2 linked regions of the Daphnia pulex genome follow. The protein of the gene in region 2 purifies or fractionates together with the protein of the main gene of each other region. This does not show direct contact. Links are inferred from orthologs where the notes say so. Each region holds a gene or a part of one and is shown on either strand. Other genes may lie near its edges. The genes, in order: sterol regulatory element-binding protein 1-like and sterol regulatory element-binding protein cleavage-activating protein-like.

The links.
Region 1: the proteins of sterol regulatory element-binding protein cleavage-activating protein-like (region 2) and sterol regulatory element-binding protein 1-like purify together in Homo sapiens (affinity purification with western blotting; 4 studies listed by BioGRID and IntAct, with this or other methods). This does not show direct contact. The link is inferred for Daphnia pulex from reciprocal best matches to the Homo sapiens genes SCAP and SREBF1.

The regions. Positions count from the first base shown.
Region 1 is NC_060018.1:506,202-521,420, reverse strand, and holds sterol regulatory element-binding protein 1-like, read right to left. Parts: upstream 8,015-15,219; 5' UTR 7,890-8,014; exon of another isoform or gene 7,784-7,889; 5' UTR 7,738-7,783; coding exon 7,674-7,737; intron 7,607-7,673; coding exon 7,524-7,606; intron 7,455-7,523; coding exon 6,897-7,454; intron 6,836-6,896; coding exon 6,693-6,835; intron 6,633-6,692; coding exon 6,521-6,632; intron 6,457-6,520; coding exon 6,252-6,456; intron 6,187-6,251; coding exon 5,999-6,186; intron 5,912-5,998; coding exon 5,616-5,911; intron 5,499-5,615; coding exon 5,150-5,498; intron 5,063-5,149; coding exon 4,686-5,062; intron 4,593-4,685; coding exon 4,466-4,592; intron 4,181-4,465; coding exon 4,013-4,180; intron 3,945-4,012; coding exon 3,806-3,944; intron 3,732-3,805; coding exon 3,537-3,731; coding exon of another isoform or gene 3,517-3,536; exon of another isoform or gene 3,437-3,516; coding exon 3,402-3,436; 3' UTR 3,375-3,401; downstream 1-3,374. Other genes in the region: transient receptor potential channel pyrexia-like, read right to left, coding at 1-170, 235-335, 413-2,504.
Region 2 is NC_060019.1:10,888,258-10,903,506, reverse strand, and holds sterol regulatory element-binding protein cleavage-activating protein-like, read left to right. Parts: upstream 1-2,113; 5' UTR 2,114-2,212; intron 2,213-2,289; 5' UTR 2,290-2,416; coding exon 2,417-6,346; 3' UTR 6,347-6,572; downstream 6,573-15,249. Other genes in the region: microsomal triglyceride transfer protein large subunit-like, read left to right, coding at 1-73, 241-277, 361-515, 577-744, 804-975; cytosolic iron-sulfur assembly component 2B-like, read right to left, coding at 1,205-1,477, 1,542-1,621, 1,687-1,810; geranylgeranyl transferase type-2 subunit beta-like, read left to right, coding at 6,897-6,899, 6,982-7,290, 7,351-7,509, 7,578-7,684, 7,755-7,861, 7,933-8,249; uncharacterized protein LOC124191180, read right to left, coding at 8,747-9,176, 9,248-9,395, 9,461-9,621, 9,698-9,776, 9,860-10,118, 10,193-10,861. UniProt on the Homo sapiens protein: Escort protein required for cholesterol as well as lipid homeostasis.

The sequences.
Region 1 (15,219 bases), on a different chromosome or scaffold from region 2:
ACAAAGAATAGGAAGACTAAATGGGTTGTTCCAGGGAATCTGATTTTTTCGTTGCCCTTTTCATCATAAAACAGAGTGTTGAAATCCATTTCGCCTGTCATCATGACGATTGCCGTGAGAAGCGCGATGGGTATTTCACCAAAAAATTTCGATTTCGGAAAGAGAACGGCCTATACGGGGGAAAACAATAATTAATTGAATAAATAAAATAAATTGAAATAGAAGTCTTCCTACAAATCCTAGCGAAAAGCCGACGATGAGGCAGAAATATGTCACCAGTAGTTTGGACATATTCCATGCAACGGTGGTAAACATCTGGATATACAGACCGAATGCTAAGGAAATCAGCAATTAAAGAATTAATCGATGCAAAACAAAAACAATAATCAAAACAAAAAGAAATTCAAATTACCGGGAAATCGTCCGATATGCAACATCAGATTAATCCAGGCAACGATTACGACTACAGCGGCCACGTGAGTCTGCCAACCAGACACATATCCATCCTCATTCCTGGGAATGACGAGTGCTATTCCGACAACAGAAAAGAGGTGCGCGTAGTTTTCTACATCTGTCACGTATTCATGTGGATTACAATACAGTTGGAAAAGTTCCTTGCACCCTGTCATGGAACCGAAAAAGATCGTCGGCAACCAAAAGTAATCGAGTGAGTAGCTTTTTTGGGTTTGTGAGTCAATTAAATCAGAGTTGTGCACAATTGTGCCGGTTAAATTGGTCGTTCCATTCTCGGCTTTTTCATTCTTACTGCTTACGTATGTAGTGTAAATGTTCAGTGTTAAAAAGAGAACATAACAAAATTGAAAAATGAGTGAGGCCAAAAAAGTGGTACGGATCTTCGTCCATTTCAAATGTAGGAAGGCGCCAATGACTGGATGCTGCAACAGATGATGCTGATCGGCCGCGATCATCGAGGTCAACATGGCCATTTCTCCTTCTTTTTGCTGGTTGCCGCTTGGCACAAGAACTTGTAAATCTAATCGCAATTCGCAATCTGCATCAGTTGGATCGAGTCCTCCGGCTATTTCAATCGCTGAATCCAACTTTTTCGAAATGGTTGACAAGGCGTCTGGAACTCGTCGTGCAACTAAGGCCAGAGCCGTATTCTTTGCTCGATTTTTAGCTGACAGATCAGCGCCCGAGAGAATCAAGAACGAAGCCAATTTCGAATGTTCGTTGATTGCCGCCAAGTGGAGTGGAGTTTGACTGAACTGATTCTTCACATTGACATTGGCTCCCCTGGAAATCAGCAACTTGACGACATCGATCGCCCTACGGCACTTGACGACTGCACTGTGAAGCGGCGTCTCCATCATTCCATCGCAAATATCATGTCGCGCTCCGTAATCCAACAATACTTTGACCGATTCTACCGATTGAGACAAGGCCGCCAAGTGTAAAGGTGTCCGGCCAACGGCTTCCGGCTTGTCAATTTCAGTTGTGCTGGCCTCTAAAAGTAAGCGAAGACATTCGGCTTTGCCTCTCAAGGAAGCTAAATGCAGTGCATTTCTTCGTTCGGGACCGCAAAGGACACTGGCATCGGCTTTATTCTCCAAAAGTAATTTCAAACAGTCGACGTCTCCTTGGAAAGCGGACACGTGAATAGGCGACTCACAGAGAACTTGCAAATTGTTGACATTGGCGCCTGCTTCAACCAACCGAGTGGCACAAGACAAACTTCGGGCCCTAACGGCCCACACCAAAGCGCTTGAACTTCCCCACCCAGCGTTTGCGTCCGAACCATTGCTTAACAGTGCTTCGACCAATTCGATACGGCCGGAAGCGGCGGCACAGAAAAGCGGAGTCGCTTCTTTATTCTGGTCCAACACGTCAACTGTGGCTTTGTAACGGATTAACAGATTGAGACACAAAACGGCGCTGGAACTCGGAGAACTTGCCGCGTAATGCAGGGCACATCTGCCTAGCAAATCCAATGCATTGGCGTCCCCTCCCGATTCAAGGAAAAAAGTCAACATGGCGACGTGCCCATTCAGAGCAGCAAACAAAACACCAACGTCATAACAATCAGGTGGAATTTCCCTCCAGTCAGACTCACCAAGGGAAACATTGAGACGAGGTTTACACAAGCGGACATTTAAGGGACTTTTAGTAAATAATTTTTCATCGATGGCCACCATCAACATCTGTTGGGGCCAAACGCACCAAGTCGTTGGAGAAATCGTTTCACCTTCGTCGAGAACTTCGAAACTTTCCGTGAAATCAAAGCTCGGCGATTCCGTTTCACTGATGCTGGATAAACTGGGGAACGATCGCTGCCTTACATTTTCTCGGGAAACGCTCCTTCTTGACGACAGTCTGACTTTGAAATTGCAATTCTTCGAAGGGTACGACCCTAACTTCGGTCGGGGTAATTTTTGCTGGCGGGGATGAGTTATCGGTCTACGTTGATCTTTGTCATCTGCCAAAATTCTCCCGTAGGTGCCAACACCGAACGCGCCTTGTTCACGGTTATCTTGATTCGACATTTCAATAAAATGTGCTACGTACCACTGGAAATGAGACAGATGAAATGTTGGTGGCCAATCGACTTGAAAGACTGAAGAGAAACGGAAACTTTCGGGAATGCGCACATGAATCTACGATTTGTTGTTATCTTTAAGAAAATCCTCACAAATAGCTCACATTTACGAAACTTACGAAAGAGGAAGGATACGACTACGACCGTATTTGCTTCGATTTTCCATATCGAAAGGAAAGGGATGTGGTAGAAATTTGGCTATGAAAAAATCGTTGTCGATTATTCATCGTGTGGAATAGGACTACGACCGGAAATGAAACGATCTAAGATGTAATTTCCTAAGTAATAATTAGAATACTTTTTAACAAGATCAAACTTTTAGCTTAAACAAGGCTGCGTCCTTTGTTAGAAGGTCAGAGTTAAAAAAAAAGTTGCGCTCGATGCATCTATAGACTAATGGTCAATACCAATTAGGCAATTACAGTCGGCTACTGTATACTATAAATAAAAATTTACTCACCGATTTGCACTCCATGTTTTAGCACCGCTGTTGAAACAAATTGAGCACCGAAACCTTTCTTCAAGAAATGCACTTCACAATTAAGGAAACGATAATTTAAAAAATGTAAGTACTTGCCGATCGAAGATCTAAGTGGGAAATATTTGCATTGCATTTACAGTTAGTAAAACAGCTTCAACTGAAAGTTACCTTTGGTCTACACGCCAATCATTTTCGGTTTACTAGTTGGGAAAAACAAAAATTATATTATTTAATACGACAAGTGTTGAGTACGGTTGCAGTTTGAGGATATTTAAATAATTATACACAGAAACCATAAAAATGCGTATGCGTAGTCTTCAACCGTACATCAGTGCATTTACAAAAAGAGGTTTGGTTGTATTATTACTCATCAGGTGTTTCGTCATACGATTTATAGTCTATTCGGCGAAATTTTGGTATTTTATAATGAATTGATGGGGACACAGATGATTAGATATAATTAATAACATGAAGTAAATTAAGTTGAAATGGATGTACCAATTGCTTTCATTAACGTGTAGCAATCTTGTAACCGTTTCTTATCCCCAATACGTTCCAGCGTTCGAGCTGCTTCAATCAACATTCCAGCTCGTTCGCCCGGTGACGAGAGCAAAGGAGCAGGTAGATGGCGACAAGCCATGTACAGTGCCGTGGCATGTTCTCGTTCGCCGGCGTCCAAGAACGCATTTTTACCTACGTGATAACAATTATCAAGTATTATCAACACAAATACAAAATAATGCGTTTCAATTGAAAAACACCAGTACCTTTGCTACCGCAAATGACCGACTGTTTGTTCTGGCGGTAGCGAAGCGTACGATCAAGTAGCTGTTGTGTTCGATCAGGAGCTGCACCAGCCATCATCCTCAGAGTCGCTTCATGTAGAAATACTCTCGGCAAAGTGCTCTATAAAATCAAATAAATATTGACCTATAACAATGCAACAACGCCCCAAAGAAAAGGACGAGACTTACGGGCAAGTGCTGAACTAGTTTCTTCAAACTAGACAAGTCTTCTTGGAATCCCAATAAAACAGCGGGTTCTGCCACATAATTGACATCCATGTTGTGACCTTCAAAATCATTTTCCCACAAAGCTGTGCGAGTTTCCAACAGCCAATCGCTGACGAGCAATTGGGCAGCCTAATAAGAATGACAGGGCCTTAATTTCATTGCACCAGATCAAATAATCAAAGGATTAACAACATGTCCGACGCCAACAAATGAAATAAGTGAACCAAAATTGCTGTTGAAGAATAGCGGTTGGCATCCCGAGTTGCACTGCCGAAGCATTGCGCGAAACAAAGAATTGACAACGTGCAATGCAACTACAATGCACACGGGCTACCCCCAGTGTGTCGAATCTAATCGTAACAGTGATTCACAATGCGGGGCAAATATAAAAGAACAAACATGCGCCTTCCCTACCTGAACCATGAGTTGAGGGCTTTTGTGAAGTGAAACTTGGAGAGACTCCTTCAAACGACAACCAGCCAGAGAGCATTGTTGAATAATGGATGTGGGATCAGCGCCGCGTAGCAACAAACGCCGCGCCCTGTAATAGGAAATACCGAAAAGGAAATTGTCGATTAAGAGTTTGATGATGACGTCCAAAGAGAGTAAGACGAGATGACGCATCTCCGCTTACCTGTAAGCCCCTAAAACGGCTTCCAGCAGAGGATCCTCTTGCGTCATTTTGGGATAAGCTTCAACTCGAGCGTGCAATTGCTCTGCCTTGTCCTCTTCACACAGGAGCCAATAAGAAGCAACAGCCACGACAGCTGCCCACCATCCGGCCACTTCGTCACCGACACCCAGTCCTTGAATGGTAGAAGGCGGTAAAAGCGAGGAGTCATTACTGGGCGAGACTGCAGCAGTGGCGTTCTCCATCAACTGCTGGGAGTAGCTCAACGCGTCGCCAGTTTGCGCCCGGCGAGAAGGTTCCACATCGCAGGCATCACCAACACGCCGACCGGGCGAAACTAACGTCAATAGAGCTTTCTGTAGGACGTGCTGACGATAGACCTGCAATCACACAGACAATGATGATTATAATTTCGACTGATGATAAGGAAAAAAGGAAAAAAAAACTTGTTGACAAAAATGTCGAACCTGCATGGTAAAAGCCAAAGGATCAGACTTGTTGCCCAGAGAGGTGAACAAAGTCGAGGGGAAATCGTCGTACTCCCAATGATGACTGAGGAAGAAACGATAGCCGGCCGGACTGCAGAGCCACTGCAGACGGGGAGGGGCGTTGCCGTTGAGAGCCTGACAGATTTGGCGAGCGCGGGCTAAATAGAAGCGAGCGCACAAGAAACCTCGCCCACTAAACGAGTGTTTCGTTCGTAGCGCCAGATGAATGTAAATATCCGCCTTGGACATGGCACTCAGTGCAGGGCCGGCAGCTTCGCCGAGATTTGTAGCAGACAGGGCTAAAGCCAAGCCACGATAGCGCTCGAACCTTAAAAAAGATTAATAACAAATAAATAACAAATACACACAGGCACGAGTCCGTCCAATCGTTAGTTTTTATCTCTCTGTTATCAATTTAAACTCAAAAATCAAAAGATCGAATTACCAGTAGTGGCTGTTGGGATCAATGACGTCCTGCTGACTAAGATGCAGCTGGTGAAGTTTGTGAAAACAAAGGGCGGCTTCCGCTAGAAACTCACGGGCCACTCGGCGTTCATCGCGATTCAGGAAAAGTTTGCCAACACGGCCGCTGAGAAAGCGGGTAAATCCGAAGCGATGCAACAGCTGACGCCAACAATTCCATCCGACGCTAGCCACAACATCGACTTTAGATACGGGCACTGTCCGACCTAAGGCGCAAAGGGCTTGTCGGTAGTGAGTGGCTGCAGTTACGTAGTTTCCCTGAATTTAACGAGACAATAGTACCAGAGAGGGGAAAGTTTAGTTTGGGAATACCGACCACAAACAACGAGCCTAAATAGCTTTTACATTGTTCATGTCGCAATCAGCTTGTTTCCTCTGTCTCCAGTAGAGCGAAGCCGCTTTGCTCTGGCGTTCAATGTACGGCTCTCCATGAACAAGAGTGCGGAGGAGGACAAAGAGGAAAACCAAAATGTTAATCCCAACAGCGGCAAATGAGAGGAACCATCCAGAATCATCTCCGAGATCGAGGGGATCTGAAACCAAATGAATACATTTTGATTGCATGTCATGATAGCAATTCAAGTAACAAAACGTTTACCAGCTTCCAGGATAACACGACCGGACGGTTTGCTGTAATGGGAGACGGCAGAGTCTGCATGCGACAGGAACTTGCCGAACGGATTAAATGCGAACACGGCCAGCATCATCATGCAAAGGGCAATACGCGAACGATCCAGCATCGATTGAGCAATAACGTTTCCGGGCGATACCATGTTTCCGTCAATGGTAAACTCGTCGTCAGACTGCACGGAAATTGAAGCAATTAAAACCATCAATCAATTTAAAAAATTAAAATCTGTCGCTTACCGAAGCCGCATAAGTTAAAGGAGATCCGCTACCAAAACTGCTGGGTGGCGATTCGGCCGACGTCGAATTTTCCAGCGATCCTGGAGGTGTAATGTCAATTGGAGGACTATCCCTGCATTCGAACGATAAACCTTTAGCTTTTATACCGACAATATAAAACAAGTATATTTACATCGAAGCTGTCAATAAACCATTGACAGTTTGCTTTTGAGATGCCATTTTTAGAGCCATATTTTCCTTGATTAGCTTTTGATTCATTTGCTGGAGGTAGCGCACATATTCCAGAGCTTTCCTAAGGATGGCAGACTTGCTCATCTATGGACAATAAGATAAATTAAATAAAAAAATCTTTCAGTCGAGTTACAACCAGTCACACCTTAGCTTCTTCACCAGCAATTAGGTTTTTTAATTCCAGTATCTTGTCATTGATGCTGTTTCTGTATCTTCTTTCAATGGCATTGTGGGAACTCTTCTTAATGACAGGTGGCCCATGAGTTGGGCTTGGTGGATTAGAATTGCCATTAAACATGTTTGCTGATCCTAAAACAGCAGATTGGTTGACGTTGACGAGACCGCCATTTGGTTGAACAGTGACAACACTATTATAGCCAAAAGTGTTGCCAAGAATCAAGACACCCAGGGAATTTGTATCCACTCGAATAGGAGTGCCAACAGTGCCCTGCGGATTGGTTTTGTTTACCAATACAGTCTGGGCTGGCTGGATGTGTTGGGGGACACTTTTTGTCTGTATCGGAGCTTGTTTCAATACAGGCTGAGGTGATATTGTTGGTACAATTTTTGTCACTGGAACTGTCTGAATCAATCTTTGTTGAATTGGTTTAACTTCGACAACAGAAACTGGAATGATGGGAGGTTGGGTTGCCACAGGAGGAGGATGGAGAACGGCAGGTTTCTGTTGGTGAAAGTTGTGAGCCTTAATGTTCAAAACATCACATTAAAACAAATATGATTAGACAAATTTCAAAACTTTTTAAAAACTTACTGGTGGAGAGACAGGGCCAAAAGATGAAAACAAATCTTCTCCAGCCAAATCGATAAGTTCGGAATCCTCATGAGGAAACAACTCTGTATAGATGGACAAACGTTTTAGTATTTGTTATCAACAGACATCAAAAGATACTTTTTTTATTACCTCCTAAATCAGTAGGAAAGTTCAATTCCAAATCCATATCATCGGCGCGATTTGACGTATCCATGGCAGGAAACAACAATAACAGTCTTCAGTGTGTGGGTAATCACCTACTAAAAAACATGACGTGTATTCGATTGGAAAACCGAGAAGAAGACTGACGATTTTGTATTCTGGAATTTACGAAAACACAAATACTAAAGGTTTTGTAGCGCGTACTATTCGGTCAACGACGTTAACTATTGCAGCATGCAGACAGTAAGAGGTGGAGCTTCAAATCACGCCAGTTCCTGGCCGTCCAATGACAGAAGAAAAACATCGTATGATCGCCCGAGCGACGTTGCCTATGTTTGCTATTATTTTTCGAAATAAAATTTTGCCCGCAGCAGCCAAAGAGGAAAAAGAGAGATCTTAACAATTTTTCACTTGTTTGCCCTCTCGCAATGTGGGCCGAGTTGTTAGCATTTGAATTTTCAAAGAATGTTTTAAAATACTCGCTGACGTAAAAGAAACCGAGGGGGGAAATTGTTGTATTACCTCTCGAGGCAAACGCTTGTCTATTTTCGACCGAATTGAAGGATTCAGATGTTGTTTTTCCAACTGCCGACATAACAAAAAACACACACATTGTGTTCGGGACGTATTTGGGAATCGGAAGAGCCTTGGTCGGTTGCAACGTACGGTGATCTATTTCGGGCCGACTGCGACCGACGATGCGAGCTGGGCGCATCATTTCGCATTCCCAGTGCATACAAAAGAACATTTACTCACAATACACAAATAAAATAATAAACAGGAAATCACAGATCTAAACTGTGTTAACGCAAAACTCGTTTGTCGAGCGAAATTCGTCGACTCGCGTGAAGGAAGACGCCAGACGAAGAGTCGTCCCACCAAATGTCACGAGAAGAAAACTAATTCGATCCGTTGAACCGGAGAACTGTACTCGTCGCCCGATTGACGTTCATTCGTTGAACCGGTCCCGACTCTTGTCCCGACTGCTATCCAATTACCAAACTCGAGCGAAGAAAACAACAGGAAAAAAGAGACGTCGTTTTCTTCTTCTTCCTTCTCTCCCGTTTCCGTCGACGGGTTGCAGCAACAGCCAGAGTTTCATAGAGACAAAAACTTTCCATGTGCACCCACACTTTCGCGTGTGTGTGTGTATACAAGTACAGAATTACGGTGTATACACTACGGGGGGTAGTAGTAGCAGTAGCAGTAAGCGAACTTGACGGGGGAGGAATCAGTCGTGCGCACCTTTCAAATATCAACGGGATATGAGGAGGAGGAGGATATCCACAGCAAGTTTGACGACGGTAATTAAGAAATGAGACTTTTTGTGTTGCGCAGGAAACACGGTGGCGTGCTAAAGATTTCCATTTCGCTTCGTTTCCTTCATTTAATAATCTCATTCTCAAACTTTAACGTTTAAAACGAAAAAAGGCGCTTGAACGGGAAAAGCGCATTTCGGACTATCTAGTCGGATTTTTGTAACCAACATTCCATCGGGATTTTCGACAGTCCGGAGAAAAAAAGTGCAAAGGCCAAGTCACATCTTCTGATGGATCGCATCATCAGGGGATAATAATGCCGCGCGGAATGGCAATTGTTTTGATGGATGCCGGAATGTGCGGTGGCCGAGGGCCAAGTCGATTGTTCGTTCGACGACGATTCAAATTATTGGCGAGAGGAACATCTAGTAAAGCGAGTCGACAAATGTCTTGATCATGACGACGCCGGGCTATATTTAGGTTATTAATCATCCAACGGGAAAATGGGGCGACGGTCCGTGAGTCGTGACGGACGACAGACTCCATTTGTTTTTTTGTTTCCTTCCCACCTACGTACTTCTGCGGTGGTGGTGGAAAATGCCAAGCAGAAGAATGCAATGTACTGTACTGTATAATGATTAACGTTCCAATCAGAATTGATCAACAGCAGCAGCAATAGAACGGGCGAAGATGATGGATAAAAACGTACGTGCGCACAAATAGTAGGTCCAGCACGACTCGCTGGCGAGTCTCCTTGACGATTCCGCATCCGTCACTAGATTTCGTGTATGTTCGCCTTCAAACTATTTCTGAGCTGGGCCCGAGTGCTGCAGCGAATACGTAACAAATAATGTTTGGGGATGCGCCGAGCTGCTCCCGCACCATGCGTCACGTCAACCAAACGTAGACCACGATGCTGAGCGTCATCCATTCTTTCACTCGTTTCGAAATTCATAACGGGCGGTTCAACTAACAAGGACTAGAAACGAACCTTTTGGCAGGGCGCATCATCGCGAGTCGAAAATAAGCAAAGAAGAGAAAAAGAAAAAAGGAAAGCTGCGGGAGAAAGAAAGAGAGAATAATAATAACGGCGAAAGATAGGAAAGACCAAGACCGTCGTATCAAGAATCGAAAGAGGAAACGATGCGGAACAGCCAGAAGCGCAAACGGCTTTTTTCTCCGTATCTGTGCCGTGACCCAAACCGCCGTATAGTATAGTCATTTCTATAGCGATTGTGAACATCTTTCTCTTTTAACTTTCTTTTGTTTTCTTCTCTCTGGAAGAAAAAATCACGGGCACAGTGGCTTAACTTTTTTCGTCGTCGTATTTCCATTTTTTTGTTGGTTTTTTTTCGGCCGTTGCTGCTGACACACGACGAGATACCAGCGCTATACATAGACCGGACGAAAGGCCGGCGCTGCTGGGCGCTCTGCAGCTTGAAGATGTGACCCGTGGTAGGATACGGAACTTGAAATTTATAAAAGGGGAGTAGTATGCCGATCCGGTTTCGTTTGACGGAGGATTCCGCTATCTGACAACTGGACGGCCATCACGACGAGGCATATCAAGTTATATATCACTATCTATCAGGCCTTATAATTCATGACTTGATGAAAGTCGTGCGTGACAGTTCCTTTTTTCGAACGGACGACTTTTCCCTGGCCGTTGTCATTTCCCTGTTCTTCCTTCTTCGTGATATCCAGCCAGTGGATATAATACCAACTCACTGCGCTGTTGCTAAAAGCACTTTTCTCGATGAATCTAATGAATGAAAAACAAATAAATGTACTACACAGGCGAAATCCTCTTGTGGTTCAAGCACTGGCGGCTGTGGCTGGTCCAATTAGGAATCACGAATGTCGTCGAGTGCCGCTCTCTTGTTCGCCTACTACTGGGGTGCTGGGTCTTCTCGGGTTCTCTAGAGGAGGGACCGACCAAGACGAGCCCGGCAGCTATCCGCCGGATCACAGTAGCCGTCACATATCATTGGTGTGAGATGTGATGAACCTTGTTTAGTCTCTGGTCTAAATAGCTTTTGGTTAAGCGTCTTCGTGTTTTCGTCGTATTCGCTTACCAGTTATTAGGTCAGACATAATACAATAGTCAACTTGACTGTACTACACCAGTTGTATACAAAAGCCATCTCTACCCCGTCGAGCCGAGCGCATTTCTTTTGTGTTATTGGGGTCGGTCTACGTGATTATTATTATCATCTCGTGATAGCTCCTACAGCACATAGCCCCCTTTGCAGTGTGGGGTGCTGTTGTTGTTTTTTGTTTCTTGGTGGTGCCCTGCCTGCCAATCAAATCAAACTGGGGAAATTGAATTTTCGATTCTCTATCGAGTCTAGACAATATCCGACTGAAATGAGGAATGCTGCAGAGTATATCGACGGCGGAGGAGAAGACAATGTCGTCTCTCTATACCTAGGGGAGATTGACTCTGTCGAGAAATGTCAGAATCAGTTTATTTCTATTCGGAGCAAGTCGCCTTGAATCGACAAGGAACGAAAAGAGACGGACGCAAGATTGCTGGCGGGAAAATGTATGATGCAATTATATAGCCAACTCCTTTAGATGCCTCTAGCTACAGTATACTATAGAGTCATCGACATGTGTGTGTGTGTGTGTGCATAGAGAGACATGGTCGGGGGGGGGGGGGGGGGTAATCTAAAGAAATGGGAAAATCAATGCCGCGATTGTTGTTTCTGCTGATGCGTTCGTCTTGTTTGGATTCATCTTTCCCCTCCTTTTTATCAAGAAGCAAACGCGTTCGAAAATGCTGCCGGGATCAACTGGGCGTGCTGATTTCCTTTCTCTCTCTCTCTGCCTCTAATATCAATATATATCTAAGGAATAAAGCCTAGATACTATTGAATCTCTCAATCACTCTACGTGTGTGTACACAACGAGTGGGGCGGGGGTGCGACAGCTCAAGGATCAAGACTTGCTTGATTTCCGTGTCCTCTTCTCTTATAGAGCTACAGACGCACCAGCACATGTCTATAGACGTCTAGCTGCTTTCACATGTGTCAACAAGAAAAAACCCAGGGTGAAATCTCTTTTTCGTCTAGTGCAAAAAAATACAAAAAAATAAACGGAACCAAAAGAATCGAAATGGCCACACCCCGACATAGGGAAGGAAAAAACAAACAGCCTCCGATATGGAGCATATCTCTCCTCAGTGTCTAATATTCATAAATCAATAATGATTTCGTGTGCAAACCGTCAAAAAAAAAGAAGAAACGTATATGCCTACAACCTAAACGAAATCCCATTATGTACCCATCAAGCCGTACAGATGATAAAGCGCTGCCTATACACAAGACACACGTCCCCGCCGCTGCTCAACATCTTGAAAAAGGTCATCCGAGGAAAGAAAAGTTGAGAATCCTCTTATCTCGATTCTCATTTGAAATAGTCAGAGTTAATATATGCAGTAGGCTTAAGATATGGAAATCATCCGGTGGATGATTGGGTCCTACGTGCGGCAAAAGGCGAATAATAAAGCAAACAGATATGATATGTAGACATGGCGCAAGTAGACCAACTTTTCGGCAGAAAGTCGGACACATTCACCACGAGTTCATCTAATACTATCCCCTATACAAGGCGACTGAAAGTAGCAACGGCCACCGCGTCACAATCCTTTTGTTATCGACTAACATCTCTTCTGAAAAAAGTTCCCGAGTCCCTGACGATGGGAATAAGGAGGTCGTCGACAATTAGATAGACTCTCTCTCTCTCGGCTTCTCCAACAGCACGTCTTGAGAGTAGTCTAGTGTTATTGTTGGTCTCTCTGTGAACGAAAAGGGCAGACGGACAGGCAAGAGATTCGTAGAAATGAACTGGGAGAGGAGAGGGTCTAAATTACTGCCCAAGACAAGGGACCACACGAGCGAGGGTGAGAGGAGAATTTAAGGGATTTCACGGCCGTGCTGCATTTCATCATCAAAGGTTTCCCATTGCGCAATTTGAGAGGATTGTCCTCCCCCCACCAACCGCCAACGAGACGACGATGGGAGCGGCTCCCCCACATTTGATCCGATTTGAGATGAACAATAATAACAACAGTTGCACACGGTATAGTGGCTGCTATGTGGGTCGAGTTTAGGCTATATAATAACAACACGTAAATAAAACACAATGCACAAAGGAATCCCTCGAGTATTTACCGTTGAGAGCAGATTTCATTACTAGAGAAATGCCAAAGGGATACACGACAGATAGGCTATGAAATCGTAATGATTTTATGAGGGGGGAGCTAAAACTTGAAATTCATCACGTCTCATTTGCTGGTTTCTCGGCGCTATAACTCAATCACGGGCTGTTGCTTGGTGTTGCCTATATTCTCCCATATACCCGCGAGTTTAATGGAGCTGCAACAGATAAGCAAAACGACGTCTTCATTCCTCCAGAGTCAAAATAATTTAGTATAGTAGGGCGACAGACGCGTTTCCAACTTTACAAGATATTTGTTACTACTATACTAACAAACAGCTTAGTTCCTTGTTAGATTCGTGCGTCACAAAGTTCCGGCCAACCCTCCCCCTCCTCATTGATGCTGCATCCAGTTTGGATTACTGATTTCGTCTTCCCATTTAATAAGGAGACAACACGGTAGTTTCCAGTCAACACAAATGCACCCAGTAGACGATGGCAGTTGCTCAGATTGCAGCACCAATCGACGATCGCGTGAGTTATCCACGTTACGAGGACTAGAATAGAACAGCGCCGCACGTACGTCGTCCGCGGGATGTCCATGTTCCGTGTTCTCTTCGGGTTTGGATATGTCAAGTGCGACGAGGCTCGCTGCTTATTTCGTTATGTAACAATAGATCGGCGGTATAGAGGGCTGGATGGCCGGTTGTCTTTGGGGCTTGTCCCTCATGTCCAGAGTGGAATATATCTGCGCAAACTGAAGTTTTCCAGTCTATTATTATTATTATTATTATTGTGTCGAATGTAATACGGGGTCCCTCCTCTGCATCAGGCATGTATACACTGTATGTCAACAACCCGCGTTTCCTTTTGGGCCGCGTCTACAGCAAGCGCATCGCTCCGGGGTTTCTCACTCATCTCCTCGTTGACCAGTCTTATGCCTTCACATGTACTATTAAATATAATACTGTCGTTCCGTACTACATATTATACTACAAAGCCTTGCAGGAAACAATAGAACAATAATGATTAGGGATACAGCTCTGCCTACCCATTCCGCAACGATATAATAATGAAGCAAAATAAAAGGGAAAAAGAAGAGGAGACCGTTGACGACAACGGACGTCGCCCCGGTTGCTAGCGGGCGTCCTTCTATTGGAATTGCCCGGAGATTTAGTGCGCAGTGCTCCTATTATTGTATTATAGGAATAAACTTGACACTGCATTCCCATCCCCCGCCTTTTTTTTCTAACAACAACAACAACAAGCGAATTGCATGCGACTTGACAGCGCTAAAAGTGAATCAACATCAAGAAAGAAAAAAGAACAAAATGTTAGTAATTAGATGAAATGAATTCAGTCCACTAGGAGAGGAGAGATAGACATAAGCAAATGGATATTTAAGAAATAAACGTAATGAACGCACTTTATTCGGCTCATCTCATTGAAGTAGCCTTTGATGCCGTCCATTCGATTTGCTGCAAATGCGGCGCTACTACAAGTGGGGGGAGATTGGCACAACATTCTCAATTGAGGGGAGAGAGTCATACGCGGATCTGATTGATGCGGAAATCAATATTAACGAGTGAGCAAGGCCCTTAGATTTGTCATCATCAAAGATTTCGCGTGAGATACCCTGAATGATTGATGATGACCAGGGATGACCATCATGTGCGGTACTACCGCACAAAGCCACCGCCGGTAAACTCCTGTGGTATACCAAGCGGAGATCATAACATATACATATTCAGAAATCCACATCGCTCAAAACTTATTGAGCGGACAACTCTAAAATGCATGAGAAATCTACATACGGTCTAGTAACTGTTACATGTCCGCCTTAAACTGTCATCAATATCTAATAACATCCATGGAGCAATCCAATGCAGATAACATCAAAAGTCTTGTAGATCCAAAACTGGACACGACAAAGTAATCTCTTCACTTCCGGCCATTATAAAAGAATCAACAGAGATCCAGGGGATCCAAAAGACCTAAGCAGATCGATGCCACGGTGTATAGACTGAGAAAAACTAAATAAAGTTGATGGGGTTGATAGTGCTGGTCGATGGACAACTTCCTTTGTCTACATAACCACCACGATGATGCCTTGT
Region 2 (15,249 bases):
TCACACTTGCTGGTGTCCAGCTAAGACCTGTTATTTTCTTCTCGGGTCAAAGCGAGCTAATGGGCCATGTCTGGTAAGTGTATATATTTTACTATATTCCATGCTGTTTTGGCAGGTAAACAAAACTAAAAATGCAAATGGAATGCTTATTGGACCTTGAAAAGAAGAGTTTAACCTGGTCCAAATTAGTAAAATTCTAGTAACATAGAACTAATACCATTTGTCATTGCCAATGTCCAGGTCTGGCACAGCATCTGAAAGAACCACAGCCCTACAGGTAGATTACATTTTGTTTTTCAGAGTTTTAAGTATACAGAAACTAAATTCGGTATTGACATTTCTATTGACATTCATAAACAGGCTACTGTGCTGCTTCAGGATTATCGTAATGTCGTACCACTCCAAAGTGGTTTTGTTACTACACTCGACGTGCGTGGTTCTGTCTCTTTTGATTTTGGTGGCGAAATCCAAATCAGTATTTGGAACAGAAATTCTCATTCAGTTGTCGAAGATATGTAAGTCAATTTACAGACTGGATTTCTGATCATAATGATAAAACTCATATTTTCATTTCAGCGCTGCATGGGAGCTAGAGGGGTCATTAAATTTAAACACGCCGTTTGTTAAATCATCTGTTGATTTCACTGTGGGTGCTGAATCTCGGGTCGATTTCGTCAATGATGTTAGCTTTGCTAACGGAATTCTTTTATGCTTGCGTATGGGCCAAGCTGAATTCAACATAGAGTGAGTGTCACAATTATTTTTTCAGCGTCGAACTAACTTAACATCCCTGTGTTGTTTAGTTACACTGTGCAGAAGCGCGAAAGCATTCCGGGAACTAAGCACTGGATTCACAAAAAGAAGAAACGCCAAGATTTCGTCCCAGGTCGCACGTTCAAACTGAATGACCAGAATTCTGGCTTCTGCAATGAAATGTTCCCTGCAGTTGAGAGTACTGGATCATCTTATTTTTAAAAGCAATGTGTTTTTCTTTTTGTTTTTAGGTAAATATTTTAAATGACATAATTGGGGTCCAAAGATGCTCAAATGAAGCAAAGTGGTTTAAAGTAGTTTACAACTTTCATGGTTCTAATTGAATGTAAATGAACAGGGACAATGTAAAGTAATTGTCACTGAATAGATTTGAATGTGTTCCATCAAAATAAACTGCATTTTCATCCATAATGTATTGATCAAATGGTTATTATTCCAAACTTTTTACTAAGCATTGATTAACAACTTCAAGTAGATTGCTGTTTTCCAAAGCGGCTGAGACTCTTTCTTTGTCAGCTAGCTGTTTATTAACAGCTTCCTCTGAAGCATGTGAACCTGGGGAAATGTTTACTTCAACTTTGAACCTAGGTGGTAGAGACCTGAGAAGACACACTTTGATGGACAGTCCTATTAAAGTTGCCATGCTGCAATGAGGGATTGTTGGAGTGTAAAAGACTTTAACACTGCTTTTTTTGTCATCAACCTGTACATACATAAAGGAAATAGAGGTAATGATTTTGTGTGAAATCAGACATTTCATATTTTACTTCTATATTCGTGATTTGTACAACATTCAGTTCTTCAAGTGACATAGGATGCTCAGGATCATTGATATCCCTTAGCAAATCTATAATTATGGAGAGATAAGCGAATTTGTTTAATGATGTATTACGCAAGTGCGAAAGTCTTTACCGAATATTTCCCTCTCATCTATGGGATCCTCTACTGATTCATCTTCTTCTTCACTTGTTATTTCTCTTTTTGTCTTCTTCGTAAATAACTGTGGATTCACATTTTCGATCCCTTTGGAAGTCATTCTTACAATTCAACACTTTGACAAGTTTATCCGACTAATAACGAACGCAATCGCGAAACGAATAACATGCGAATAACTACAAGTAAACAGAACTAGTAACGGCATCTAGCGATACCGATAAATGTTTAGTTGTGTGCGCGGCGGCGGCTGAGTGAACTATTGCGGAATCGGCAATATTTAAAACTAAATAACTTAATAACCATAAAACATATTGGCAAACGAATTTTACTAATTTAACTATTTTTGTAAACAAATTTTAGGACAACTCTGGTAGGTACTGTATTATTTCTTTTCTTGTTTAATTCCACCACCACGTTACAATTTTCTGCACTAGACGCTCCAGTTGTGTCAAGGCATTGATCTTTAGTTGACATGTTTTTCTTTTTTGGGCATTTTCGACAGGTAAATAGAGATTAAAATTGAATCTGCAGCCGGTTTTAAATTAAAAAATCTCTTATTATATTGATTTTCTTGTTTAGGAGAAACGTTTGCTCTCGGAGGTCATTCCCAATATTGCCAATACTGGAAAGTGTGGCGAAATGTCGTGAAATTTATTCACTATTCGTCGTCTACAGTTTGTTTTAATATTTTTGGACTTACTCAAACATGCCTTTTGTTGAGCCACAAATTGGTCATCATCCCGCCGTCAAAGATGTTGATTCGGCTGGACTTGCTAATGGAAGTGGACTGAATTCAAGCACCAAAGGCCTGAGTATACCCGACAGGGTAGCACTCCTCTACTACAAACATGGCCTTCTGTGTTCTAGCTACCCCTGGTGCACAATCATAGTGGCAATTATTATTGTTCTCACTTCGTGTCATCCTTTATTGTCCTTGCCTTTTCCAGGCAATGAACCAGAGGAGATATCTTTCCCGCTTCCAGAGAAAAGAATCTCTTCTGATCTTGAATTTGGAAAAAGCTTTCAGTATCCAACCAGATGGGGAACTCAGCAACCATCTTTTTTCATACAACAAATAGTTGTACGGTCCTCTGTCAATCCATGGACGTCTGATTTGGGCATGATGGATGCTTTTCGAGGCCCATTGAGTGAAGTCTTCAAGCTGCATTCTGATGTAGTGGGTTTCCATTCACCTAGGAGTAACCTGACTCTTAGAGATGTTTGCCTTTACGTGGAGAGTGTGGCCCCTAGAGCTCGTTCGTTTCAACATCTTCTACCCGAATTCAGCTGCATCATTTTGTCGCCGGCCAATTTGTGGAAGCTGGACGAAAATACCTTCCGCAACGACGCTCAGTTCTTAGACACCATATTTTCTTTCAAGAACCCAGTGGTAGAAGTGCGATCAAGTATGGCCGACATACTTTACGGCGTCCCGCTCAAAAATAGTGGATTGAAAAAATTCCCAGTCAAGACTCGTTCTCGCGTCCTTACGTACGCTATCACAATCTTACTTAAAACTCATTCTGAACCGTTTCTTTATGACTTGCGGTTAAAGCTCCGCAATCAATTTCCTCTCCACTCCACCACTCAAGAATCCACATCATCTCGACGCACCATCGTTCACATTTACTATCCCGAACGTTTCAATTATTTGGAGCTCATCCCGCTGACTTTTGTCTACTTAATCCTGTTCCTGTACATTTACTTCTCTGTTCGCAAGATCGAAATGGTTAAATCCAAGTTTGGCATGGCTTTCAGCGCCGTAGTGACAGTGGTAGCATCGCTGGGCATGTCGGTCGGCCTGTGCACGTGGTTCGGATTGCGCTTCACTCTTCAGGGACGAGACATTTTCCCTTATTTAGTGGTGATCGTTGGTCTGGAGAACATCTTAGTTTTGACTCGCTCTGTCGTCTCTACTCCAGCCAATTTGGACGTCAAGATCCGTGTAGCACAGGGACTTAGTCGTGAAGGATGGAACATAACCAAAAATTTGTTAACAGAAGTGACTATTTTGACGGTGGGCTTCTTCACCTTCGTGCCGGCCATTCAAGAATTTTGCCTCTTCGCCGTCGTCGCCCTTCTCTCCGATTTCGTTCTGCAAATGCTGTTCTTCTCCACCGTCCTGTCCATCGACATATTGCGCAAAGAGTTGTCGGAAATTCAGCGCCAACGACGGCAGCTTCAACCTGGTCAGCAGTACCTGTCGACCAACCACACCGTCCATACTCTCAGTTCAGCAGAAAGGGCATTTACGGGGAATGCTGTCCATCCCCACTTGCGCACCCGAGTCCACTCAGCAGCTGTTTCAGCCAAAAATACCCCAACGGCCGTCGTAGCACCATCCTCCTACACGCACAATCGATCAGCTGCGGCCAGAGTACCACGTCGGATAAGGATCGTTCACTTTTGGGCTCGCACGCGTTTGTTTCAGCGTACCTTTATGGTGGGTGTGGTCATATGGATGAGCATTTTCTTTTACAAATACGTAGTGATGGAAAATTTGGCTGATCAATCGGCCGGATGGTCTGTCGAAGCCAATGATTCTTCACAGGTTGAATTTCCAGCACCACATCCTAATCTCAAAGTTTCGTGTTCTGCCGGATCCAACTGTATTGAACCGGAAGAACCAGATCTTTTGAAAGAATCCACGATTCTAGCCAATTCGGCCGCACCAGAACTATCAGTTACGTCATCCAGCGGCAAAGAAGTAATCGATTGGCAGAATCGGTTACAACATCCCAAAAACGTCGAGCTCTGGAGGAGGCTCTCTTATCGCCACTGGCCCGACCTGCTGGACATTTACAATATCTCGTTGGCCGGAAAGTGCATAGCCATGTTGCCTCCGATTCGAATCTCTATCCCAGTCAACCCAGAACGAGTGTCAGAAGTGCGCAACAGTCGCGATGGCGAGTACCTGACGCGATCGCGATGGAAATCTCTGGCATCAGCTCTCGATACGCTTGATGTTCTTGACGGTGACGATAGTGATTTCGGCCTGTCCGGAAGCCATGGTGACGGAAGTATTGGCGGCGGATCAGGCGGAAACGGTGGCTCCGATGAAGACAACAAGACTCCCTACGTTCCTTCGTCGCCCATTCAAATTATTTTAACCACTTTATTAGCCATACCGAGCGTGGTGTTTATCGCCTACGTGACTGTCGTGTTATATCGTTGCATCTGCTCTCGGCACTACGCCGAATGGAGGAGTTCTTCGACTTTCTGGGGCTGGGCCGGCAATGCTGGTGGTGGGTTGACGCAAGAGTCTCGCGAATACTATTCACAGATAGTAGCAGAATCTATGCCTCTCGTTCTCGACGGTCATCGTTCGCCCATCGAATGCATATCCACCGATGGAGATGTCGTGTCGAGTGTCTGCTTGGCCGGCCAGCTCCACATTTGGGACATCCAGACGGGAGATGCCGTAGCTCAAATTGATAGAAACACTTATTTCGCCGCTTTTCAGCAACAAACGTCGCCGGCCTCTCCCAATTTTCCACGCCACGATACTTACTCATCCACTAACGAACTGGGCGGACTGTTGAGTCACGCCGTTTCTAATCCGATTGTATTTAGATCCCCGGGCTCGTTTCATTCTCCTCCGGCCAGCCCTAACAACCTGTCTTGGAAAGACAGAACTAGTCCAACGAGAAATAATAAAACGTCTTACTTTCCATCGCCCGTCTGGTGCATGCAATGCTTCGATGGCCAAGTGGCACTGGGCTGTGCCAACGGACGCATTGAAATTTGGAGCCATAATTCCGGTTTGCGTTGTCTTTACGACGACGGCAGTGGTGTCGGAGTGGCCAAACTCAAAGTTTGTGGCGAGTATCTTCTAGCTGCCCGATTGAATGGAGTCCTGGAGTCGTTCCAGTTTCACGCCGATTTCGACAGTCCTGTGGAAGATGTCAGCCACCACGTTCATTCTCGTCGTGGCGCCGACGAGTACGACGAAGAGGACCGATCATCTCCATTAGCTTTCCGTTTGGTCCGGCTCAACTGGGCTAGAGCTCACCAACAGCCCATCTCAGTGTTGGACGCTTCGGCTAGTGGCAGCCGCGTCGTTACGGGTTCGCTGGATCATTGCCTCAAAGTCTGGCGACTGGAAACCTTGACAGCCCTCTACTGTCTTCACGGGCATCGCGGACCCATCACGGCCATGTTTATCGACGAAGCTTACCCCTGCAGCGCATCGGGAAGCGGAAGTCAAGACGGAATGCTGTGCATGTGGGATCTCTCCAGCGGGACTTGCGTCTACAGTTTGCAGGCTCATGACGGTAGCGTGTCCGTCCTGACTTACACCTCCTCGTACGTCATCAGCTTGGGCGCCGATGACAAGCTGTGCGTTTGGGAGCGATTTCAGGGTCATCTGCTCAATTCTCTTTCCTTGTCCCGTCTGGCTCTGTGCGGCAGTTTAGCTATGCTCAATGATCGGTTACTTGTCACCAGTCGGCAAGGATCCCTGGTCGTCTGGGATGTCCGAACGGGAGAATCGATCCGTGAAGTTCGTCTTGGCGATGCCGACTCGAGTACTTTTGTTCGTAACGTCATGGTCGTCAGAGACAACGTCATCTGTGACTACGGAACGCAGCTTCGCATCGTTTCTTTCCCCATGATTTCCACCCACAAAGTCGAGTAAATTATTGTGAAAAATTGTTAGCTTTTTTTGGTCTTTTTCCTTCCCTTTTTTTCCCCCTTTTTCCTCAGCCTTTTTCATTGTCTTTTTCAGATTCTCTTTTTTTCTTTTACTTTAGCGTGTCACATGTGATTGGGTTTGTGGATGACAACATAGAGGCTATTGAATTCTACAACAAAACATACCAAAACTGTTGCCGATTGAATAAACCGACTTTTTTTCATTGGAATTTGTTTATCCTAGAGATCATGACTTCATTTACGTAAAAATGGTGTCTTCAAAAAATTAAAAATCTTCATTATGTCTTATAATTTCGATGGCGCTACTGTCGCATCGAAAAAGATCCGTCTGCTAGCCCCTTAACAGTCAGCTGCTCATGCTGCTTAACTTACGTCAAAGTGGTCTGTGTGCCTGTGTTTGCAAAATAAATTTTTAATTTCATTGTTAAGAGTGAAAATCCACCAATCCATAATTTTTGGATAGCTTGGAACCTATTATCCACTACCCCTTGCTACCCCTTAACCATTCCCGCGTAACAGATATAATTTCAATTATGGTACGTATATTTAGATGATTATTTTGAGGAAGCCGGTCTCAGTTTTGATATGATAAATGGTTTATTTGAACATGTGAACTAGGCCCTTCTCATGAACGACATAGTGCTACCGAAGGAGGCTGATATACCTAATCTGTTGCTGCCAAAGCATGCAAGTTTCTTGGCAGCATATGGAAACAATAAGGATGATTATGAATTTTGTATGACAGAGTACTTGAGAATGAATGGAATCTATTGGAGTTTAACAGCAATGGATTTGATGGGCAAACTTGGTGAGATGGACAGAGATGGTATTATTTTATTTATAAAGCAATGCCAGCATGAAAATGGAGGTATAGGAGCTAGTGTAGATCATGATCCTCACCTTCTCTACACTTTGAGTGCTGTTCAGGTTGGTAATGAGAGTTGACTCACTTCATATGCATCTGAAAATTGAATTTTTTTTCTTCAGATTTTGTGCCTGTATGATGCACTTGATGCAATCGATTGTGAAAAAATTGTGAATTATGTCAAAAAGTTGCAAAATGATGACGGAAGTTTCTGTGGTGATCAATGGGGTGAGGTTGATACAAGGTTCTCTATGTGTGCAGTTGCATGCTTGGCTCTTTTGGTATGTGGATTTACTGATTGCAATTTTTTTATGATTAACACATATTTTTGTACACATTTTTACTCCAGGGAAGGCTGGATGCTATTAATATTGATAATGCAGTAAATTTTGTAATCTCATGTATGAATTTTGATGGAGGGTTTGGATGCAGACCTGGCTCTGAAAGTCATTCTGGGTAAGTTCTAAGTTGAGATAATTACAAAGGAAGAAATAATACTGTTTCTTTTTTGTGGTTACCTTTTCAGTCAAGTGTATTGCTGTGTTGGTATGCTGTCGATTACAGGTCATTTACATTTGATCAAAGCTGATAGCCTTGGCTGGTGGCTATGTGAACGGCAGTTGCCGAGTGGCGGTAATTACTTTTGTTTTTAGAAATCTTTCAAATAGACGTCTCTTAAACTATGTAACTCAATTGTTATTTAGGTTTGAATGGTCGACCAGAAAAATTGCCGGATGTTTGCTACTCTTGGTGGGTAGTTGCGTCTTTGCGGATTATTGGGCGAGTTGATTGGCTTGATAAGAATCAGTTGAGAAAATTTATTATGGCCTGTCAAGACGTCGAGACAGGCGGATTTAGTGATCGCCCAAATGACATGCCCGATCCATTTCACACCCTCTTTGGTTTAGCGGGTTTATCTCTTCTCGGTGAATCTAGTCTTAAAACTATTAATCCTGTATTCTGTATGCCACAGCAAGTTATTTCCCGGCTGAAAATTCAACCACAGATGTTGTCGTTATAGCAACTTTATGAATTATTGCTTTAATTGTCCTTCAGAATACAAAAAAGGTTTTTGCATAATCGACATCTAACACATGCAAACTACTGAACAAGTCATGCGTAAAACGTAATCTATTTTCGGCACCAGTATTTCCATTACAATGTTGGTTTAAAACAAATTTCAACGTGTTTGGTATCCGTTTAACTCTAATTTACCTGATTTTTTAGTTTCCCTTTTTGACCAGAGATTAAAGGGATGTTCCAACCCTTTTGTTTTTAAATATTTTAGGTGGTTCAGTGGAAGAAATTTTATTTTCTGAGAAATACGCCTTCAAAAAGTGTAAGTGACAACTATTCTTAAACATAATTTATTTTTCATCAAGTGGATTGCAATATAAAATTTGTCAATATTTCTAGAAAGCTCAATGATAGTCTATTCAACACAATAACCACTTTTTGTACCAATCACCACGAGTATGTTTTCGCGCATCTTTAATTGGCATATTTTCCATCCAAATCTTAGGCTGAATGAACCTCGCCTGTATATGCTAAATTGTCTTCTCCAAGGTCTTCTCCATTTTGTTGATATTTGATTGCCTCAATGTTTGAGGGCTTGGAATCGCTGGTCTCAATTGCAGGAGATTCATCCGAAGAAGTTTGGTATGATCGTGAGCGCCAGAACTTCACGGAGCCCGAAGATATTTTTGTCGAATTACTGGTGGCACGTGAAGCAGATTCCTTGATTTTGACCACACGGTCCCTAATCATTTTGTAAACTTCGGTTTTGCAAACGAAAAAGTAAAACATGGCCGGTCCGATCAACATGTAGAGAGAAATACTGAAGATGAGCAATTCGGGAGTGGCATTGTCTGAATCGACTATTTCGTGAACGATTCTCGGTATCGTGTAAAACTGCATCAGTAAGAAGAAACGGAATATCGTCGTAATCCTGCGTAAAAAAAAGGAACGGTAAGCAACATTTGTTACATCACCATGAAACTATTCATATTTAGATATAACCTTTGTTTTTCCAATTTGCTGAGAGCCACGGGCGAAACAGAAGTTTTAAGGAAACGGAGACTTCCATGAACTTTAAGAGCGCTTGGAATGAAGAAAATCAAATTGGCCGTCACCAGAATGACGTTCGGTGTGCTCAGTAAATGTTTGACTGAAAAATAATCCATGTGTGTTAATTTTATTATTGCAGGAAGAAGACGAATAACTGAAATTTACTTATGGGATTTCCAAACCAACAAAGACGGACAGGTGGTCCCAAACTATCACGATAAATAACCACAGCCATTTGTAGTACGAATGGCAATCCCCAAGCGTAGACGGAACACAATACAAAACGGATGAGCAAGTCCCGTCTATTTGATGGTCTGGGACCTGAACTAAAAATAAACAGTTGCATTTGAAAAATAAAATTCCACCAAAAGGAGAGGGCCGTAAAAAAAAGTGAGTTATTACTTTAACTGGTTCCAGATGTTGAATCCCATCACGGTAATCCAGGTTGAGGACGCATACCGAAAATAATTACTAGCAATCGCTAGTGAAGAGAAATTTTTTTGTAAGGATATATAATTAAATAAAATTTTTAATAATAAATTTTAACCTATATGAGATTCTTACTTTTGAAAAAACACCAGGTGTGGGGTTCGGTGGGAAGTGAAAGCAGGATTCCGTATTCGAGTTGTACGATAATCATACAAATCAAGAAGCAGATCATCGAGTACCCCTGGATGTTATCACGAAGTGGAGGGAAGATGGCATAGACGGCCAACGTCAAAATGAGGAAGAAAGCCGAGACGTAATGAAGGTACGAATAGACACCCCACAGGAGATACCGCACCAATTTCATTCTCCACGGCAGGCATATCATGGCAATATCCTAAAGGGGATCAAAAGAAAAAGTTTCTTCATTGTAGTAAATTAACATTTAATAGGACCCTGATATAACTATACCTCTTGGTTTCCCTCAGCATCGACAGCAGTATCAACACAATAATTGTCGGAATGACGCAATACTTTGTACAAGGCTCTTTTCACAACAAAGTAGCCGGATGCGTTGACCTCATATCTGTTATCGACGAACATTTTTGGCACGTAAATGTTGAAATCATATTCGCAAGTCAACGAAGAATTCTCCACGACTTTGAATGGCCATCCGGCCGGAGTAACTATTTTGGAAGCGTTGAAAACTCGATCGTTGGCGATGCACTCCATGATCGAATTGCGTTTGACTGATTGGCCCATCGGACAACATTTTTTCACTTGCGCTGGAGTGCGGCAGTAGGCTACGACAGTCTCGTTACGAACATCATTAAACGCAGTGGAATGAACACAATACTGAGTTATTGTTTGATTGTAGCGAGGTTCTACAATGGCACCGTCGACGGACTGGTTTTCCATTTTGAAAGTTTCCCATCCATCGGAACACTGTAAAAGTGGATCGTTGACTCCGGATTCTTCCTGGTAGGTTTTGAACACCGCGGGATTATCGACGCACTTGCGCAATTCCACGTCCAACACCTGATTTCCAGGGCAGCACTTTTGCGGGAATACTTTGTCTCCGAAGGTTAATTCCGCTAACACGGTTATCACAACGACGCTGGCACACGAAAGTAATCCCATTTTCTCTTCTTTGGTCACCAGATGTAGGCGATCGTTCAAATTGGGGTGCGCTGGAAATTCGGAGGGCTGTGTTTAATCCAGTAGAAACCGGATTGGACCATGATCGCAATTAGTAGACCGCAGCAAACTGGACGAGAAATGGATCAAACGCGTCCGTGTCAGGAGCGAGCACCAGCCGACACATTCGCCCGCGTGGAAGTGTGCTCAAAGACTAAGTATCTTTCTTCAAACGTATTACAATTGAGTTTCTTCACAACGCACGGTCTTCTCCAGCACTTTCGCCCCCTAGCACTATATACTTTGAGCGTGCCCGCAGCTACACACTCTAGTCAAAAGAACGCCCGCTGTATCCCTCAGGTAGGATGGTTGTTGCCGTTCGTTCGAAACGAGCTTAGTCAAGGTTAAAAATCTCCTCACAACGTTTCGGTAACACTAGACAAAGAGCGTAGAACATTCACGTGTTGTTGACGTCACATTTCCTGGATATCTCACGATTTCACGTCCACGAAAATGTCATATTTATTGGTTCACGGAGTAGTACCAGTCTATCATGGGTATCTTTCACACCGTTTCCGGTCTGTCTGTTAAGTATTGAGTGGTTCGCGTTGCTAGTAATATATCCCAATTCTTTAACAACTGCGATTGTCAAATAGGAAACCGTCTCAGAGGGACTCTGAATTTTTATAGTAACTAGACTAATTCCTCCCTCCAGCAAACGGTCCGTGACTGGAACTCTAGGCGCAAGCTTTGATGTTTATGGGCACTATCACGAAAAAACAGCCTGCGGCCTGCAGACTTCGAATTCGCCGCCTCCCAAAAGAAAATTTATTCTTCTATGTATTTGTGGTTTGTGTGGATGTCTATGTTGGCGTTCAATATTTGCTCAACCGAGCGAATCCTCAAAGCAATAGCAAGTTTGAATATATACCGGTAACCGCCAGTAACTGGTTTGCCTATACCAAGGTCGCAGGTGGGACGCAAGAACAGAGCAGCAGTTCACGCAGACATATGGTTCGAGCGTGAAGTAGAGTCGACCTTGGCAACAGATCGCGACATCAAATTCCTTGTTGGTCGTCGTTCCCGAACGATTTTCCTGGAGGTAAAAAATGCGTTGATTGCGAACGAAATCTCTTATTTGAGATCGAGAACTGGTTGTGAAAAATTGGAAACACCTTTTTTTGTTTCTTTCTTCCAGATTCTCAAAGTTTTCTTGAGAAGAAAAATCATTAAACGTGTGTTACAGCTGACATTTCGAAATTCTTCTCATCACGCCCTTGAAACTGCTGCTGCTGCGCTCGTATGCAGATGAAGTCGCGTGAAAGTTCGTGTTCAATGTCGAAGGGCCTTTTCAAATTTCTAGTTCTATTGGAGCTTTTTTGCACAAGTCCATGATGGGTATAAGATGTTACAGGATGACGAAATATCTTTAACGCTTGGGGTTAATTCATGCGTGATCGCAAATTTTTAAATTTCAGGCTTTTTTGACCGATAATTTATACGGTCTCAAAAAATGCCACAACAAGCTGAGCTTATTTCCCGAACGACATTTGAAGGATATAGCCTTTTACGTTGATAGTAGTATAATATCCTGGTATTTGTATGTAAAGATAAGAATTATTTTACACGGACGCAAGAAATGCTATTACAAGCGGAATTTTCCCGAACGACAGTTGAAGGATATAACCTTTTAAGTTCATGGTGGTATTATATCCTGGTATTTGTATGTATTATGTTTGTATATGTTTGTAAGATAAGAAGGAAATTATTCCTTCTTGGCAGTCATTTATCTGCGGGTTTCGTGTAAATATTGAATTTTTTTCTTGTCTGTGGTAGGGTTATTAGATCATTCTAAAATAATTCCGATCCCTTTAGCGGATGTCGAGTGCGGGTGGGAAAACCACTTTTATCGTATTTTGAGTGGGTGTTTTTTATATTTGTGGATTTTTTAAATAATTTATATCGATATTTTAAGAAATAAATGGCTAATTAGGAAGTTAGCGTCGTCTGCTGCTTTTGTTTTGTTTAGTTTCGAAATAAACGTGGTCGTGTCCACTCTGTGGTCACATCTCTTAGGCCTACTCTCTTTACAGAATCACTTCGTACACACGGCTGATTACCAGGTAAATAAAACTAAGAATACCTATAGAATGACTATAGAAACTGAATTTCGAAGAATTAAACCTTTTCCAAATTTTTTTAAATGTTAGTTCGTCCTGACCAGCATTTATCATTTAAGCCCCTCTGTCGATGCATGGCAGTTTGTTTGTTCACTATGTAACCTTTTCCTTAGTGCATATTTGAGGCCAGAGACAGCCATCAACAAGATATGATGTAACCATAGACCTGTCATCAGCAGCAATCTCAGCATCATCGCTTAGGTAATGATTTTCATTACACCTTACTTTTATTCGAGTGGTGTGTGACCTGCTAGATACTTTAATTGTGCAATGTAATGCAGGACTTGCAAAAATGCAGTGTATTACATGTAAACCGTCTGTTTATTAACAATCAAGTTTTACTCACTGTCTCATTTTAAACTATTCCTTGCTTGTTGTTTCTGCAGATATTTTTTCGTAACCCATTTCTTATTTTTTTAATTAGTTTAACAGCATCCCGTTTGGATTCTGGATTGAGAAACTATCGATGTTGGCCATGTTACGGGTCTCTTCTTCCCTTTTCTTTAAACGGCCTCGTGTATGCCCATGTGAGTGTGGGTGTATTCACGAGGCCGCCCTTTAATATCCTATTCAATTATTCTGCGGATGGATGGAGAGCACTTGTGGATGCCTGTCCCGCTGTCCGTATATTTCCCAGGCCTGAAGGTAGGAAAAATGTATTCCTATTCTTTATTTTTTGACTGTTTGTTGGTGTTAAATCGTGACATAGTAGCCTACGGAGTACGATTATTCCTGAGCTAGATGCGGTTAACTGGAGTAGGTTCTCTTGCGGTTTTTGTTTACTCACTATAACTCAGTAAGGGTTCATTTAGGCGAAGTTTTTGTTTACTCAGTAAGTAAGAGTTCATTAAATTTTAGTGTTGCAGAACGACTGCAGGTCAGACCCAGTTTTGTACCTTACAACTTTGTCTGTTGTTGGTTCACAAACCTCAAATAAAAAAATATTTGAACTTTAAACACTTCCAGCAAAGTGCAACTAGAATTTATTTTTTTTCCCAAGAGAAACCTGCTAGTTTTATCCAACAAATCCTGTTCGAGGAACCTTCCAGCATGACGGTTAAAGAAATTCGATGCACAACGCTGACGTCATTATTTTTCCCCGGTTTCGTTCGCCTCAGGAAAATTGCCTCCGTCAGCCACAATTTTTTTTTTATTCACTTGACGTCATCAACATTCATTGTTTGACGTCACACTTGTGCGTGAGTCGATGAGGGGCGCGCCAAAAACAATTAAGTGGTGGTTCTCTCAACGCCATTTCGCAACCACGGGTTTTTCCGGTCACGCTTATTGTCAATTTACCTCACACGTTGACACCCGCGTTATTGTCCTATTTTGAGTTGACAATTTTTTGTTCACATTGTTTCTCCTCTTCTTCGACGAAATTGTTCTCGGTAAAGTGACTTGCTAACTCGACATTTTACACTTTCACGTAAAACAACTTCAGGTGTTGTTTGGAAATAGGGCAGTATAAGTCGACTAATTTGCAAAGATACTATAATATATTGTTCACACAATAGAGATAGCGGATAGTCACACTTTTAGCAAATGTTGGCTAAACGCCTAAACCTATAATGATTGGCCTAATTTACCATTCCAGCACCGCCGCCTATTGTCAACCAGGCGGTGTACCATTCGTTCACAATGGGGAAAACATCTCGGCAGGTTTCACGACAATTTCTTTGATTTTATCTTCTAACTTTCTTCGAATTTGGGTTTCAGAATTTTCGAAAACAGTTAATTTATTGTATTTTTCCTTGTCGCCACATTTTTCTGCTTTGCTTTAATTGTACCGGTCATCAATCTTACAACAATACGACGTGTTGCAGCACATATGCGGCTCGGGAGATTCTACTTCCTCGAGTTCTTTGTGTCGGGATGTTGTCGTAGTGAATGAAGGCGAATAAAACTCCAAGGGCAAAAATCTTAAAAAGGAGTTTGGACTCTGTTAGGCACTTTGACACAGCGATAACCACCATATACGTAAATCTCATGACAAAGAAAAAGGTAGAACTCGATGAAAACCGGAAAAGGCGATGTGGCATTTGCTGAATATAGCTTTAAACTATTAACAAAAAAAACATCTTCCAGCCGACCGGTCTCAGACAAGTTTACATTAGCTTTTTCATTGACATTGACTTTAAAGGACCTTTGACACATTGCAGAGAAAACTAGGTGTGGCGTTTTGAAAATCGAAATATTGTACCGATTTGA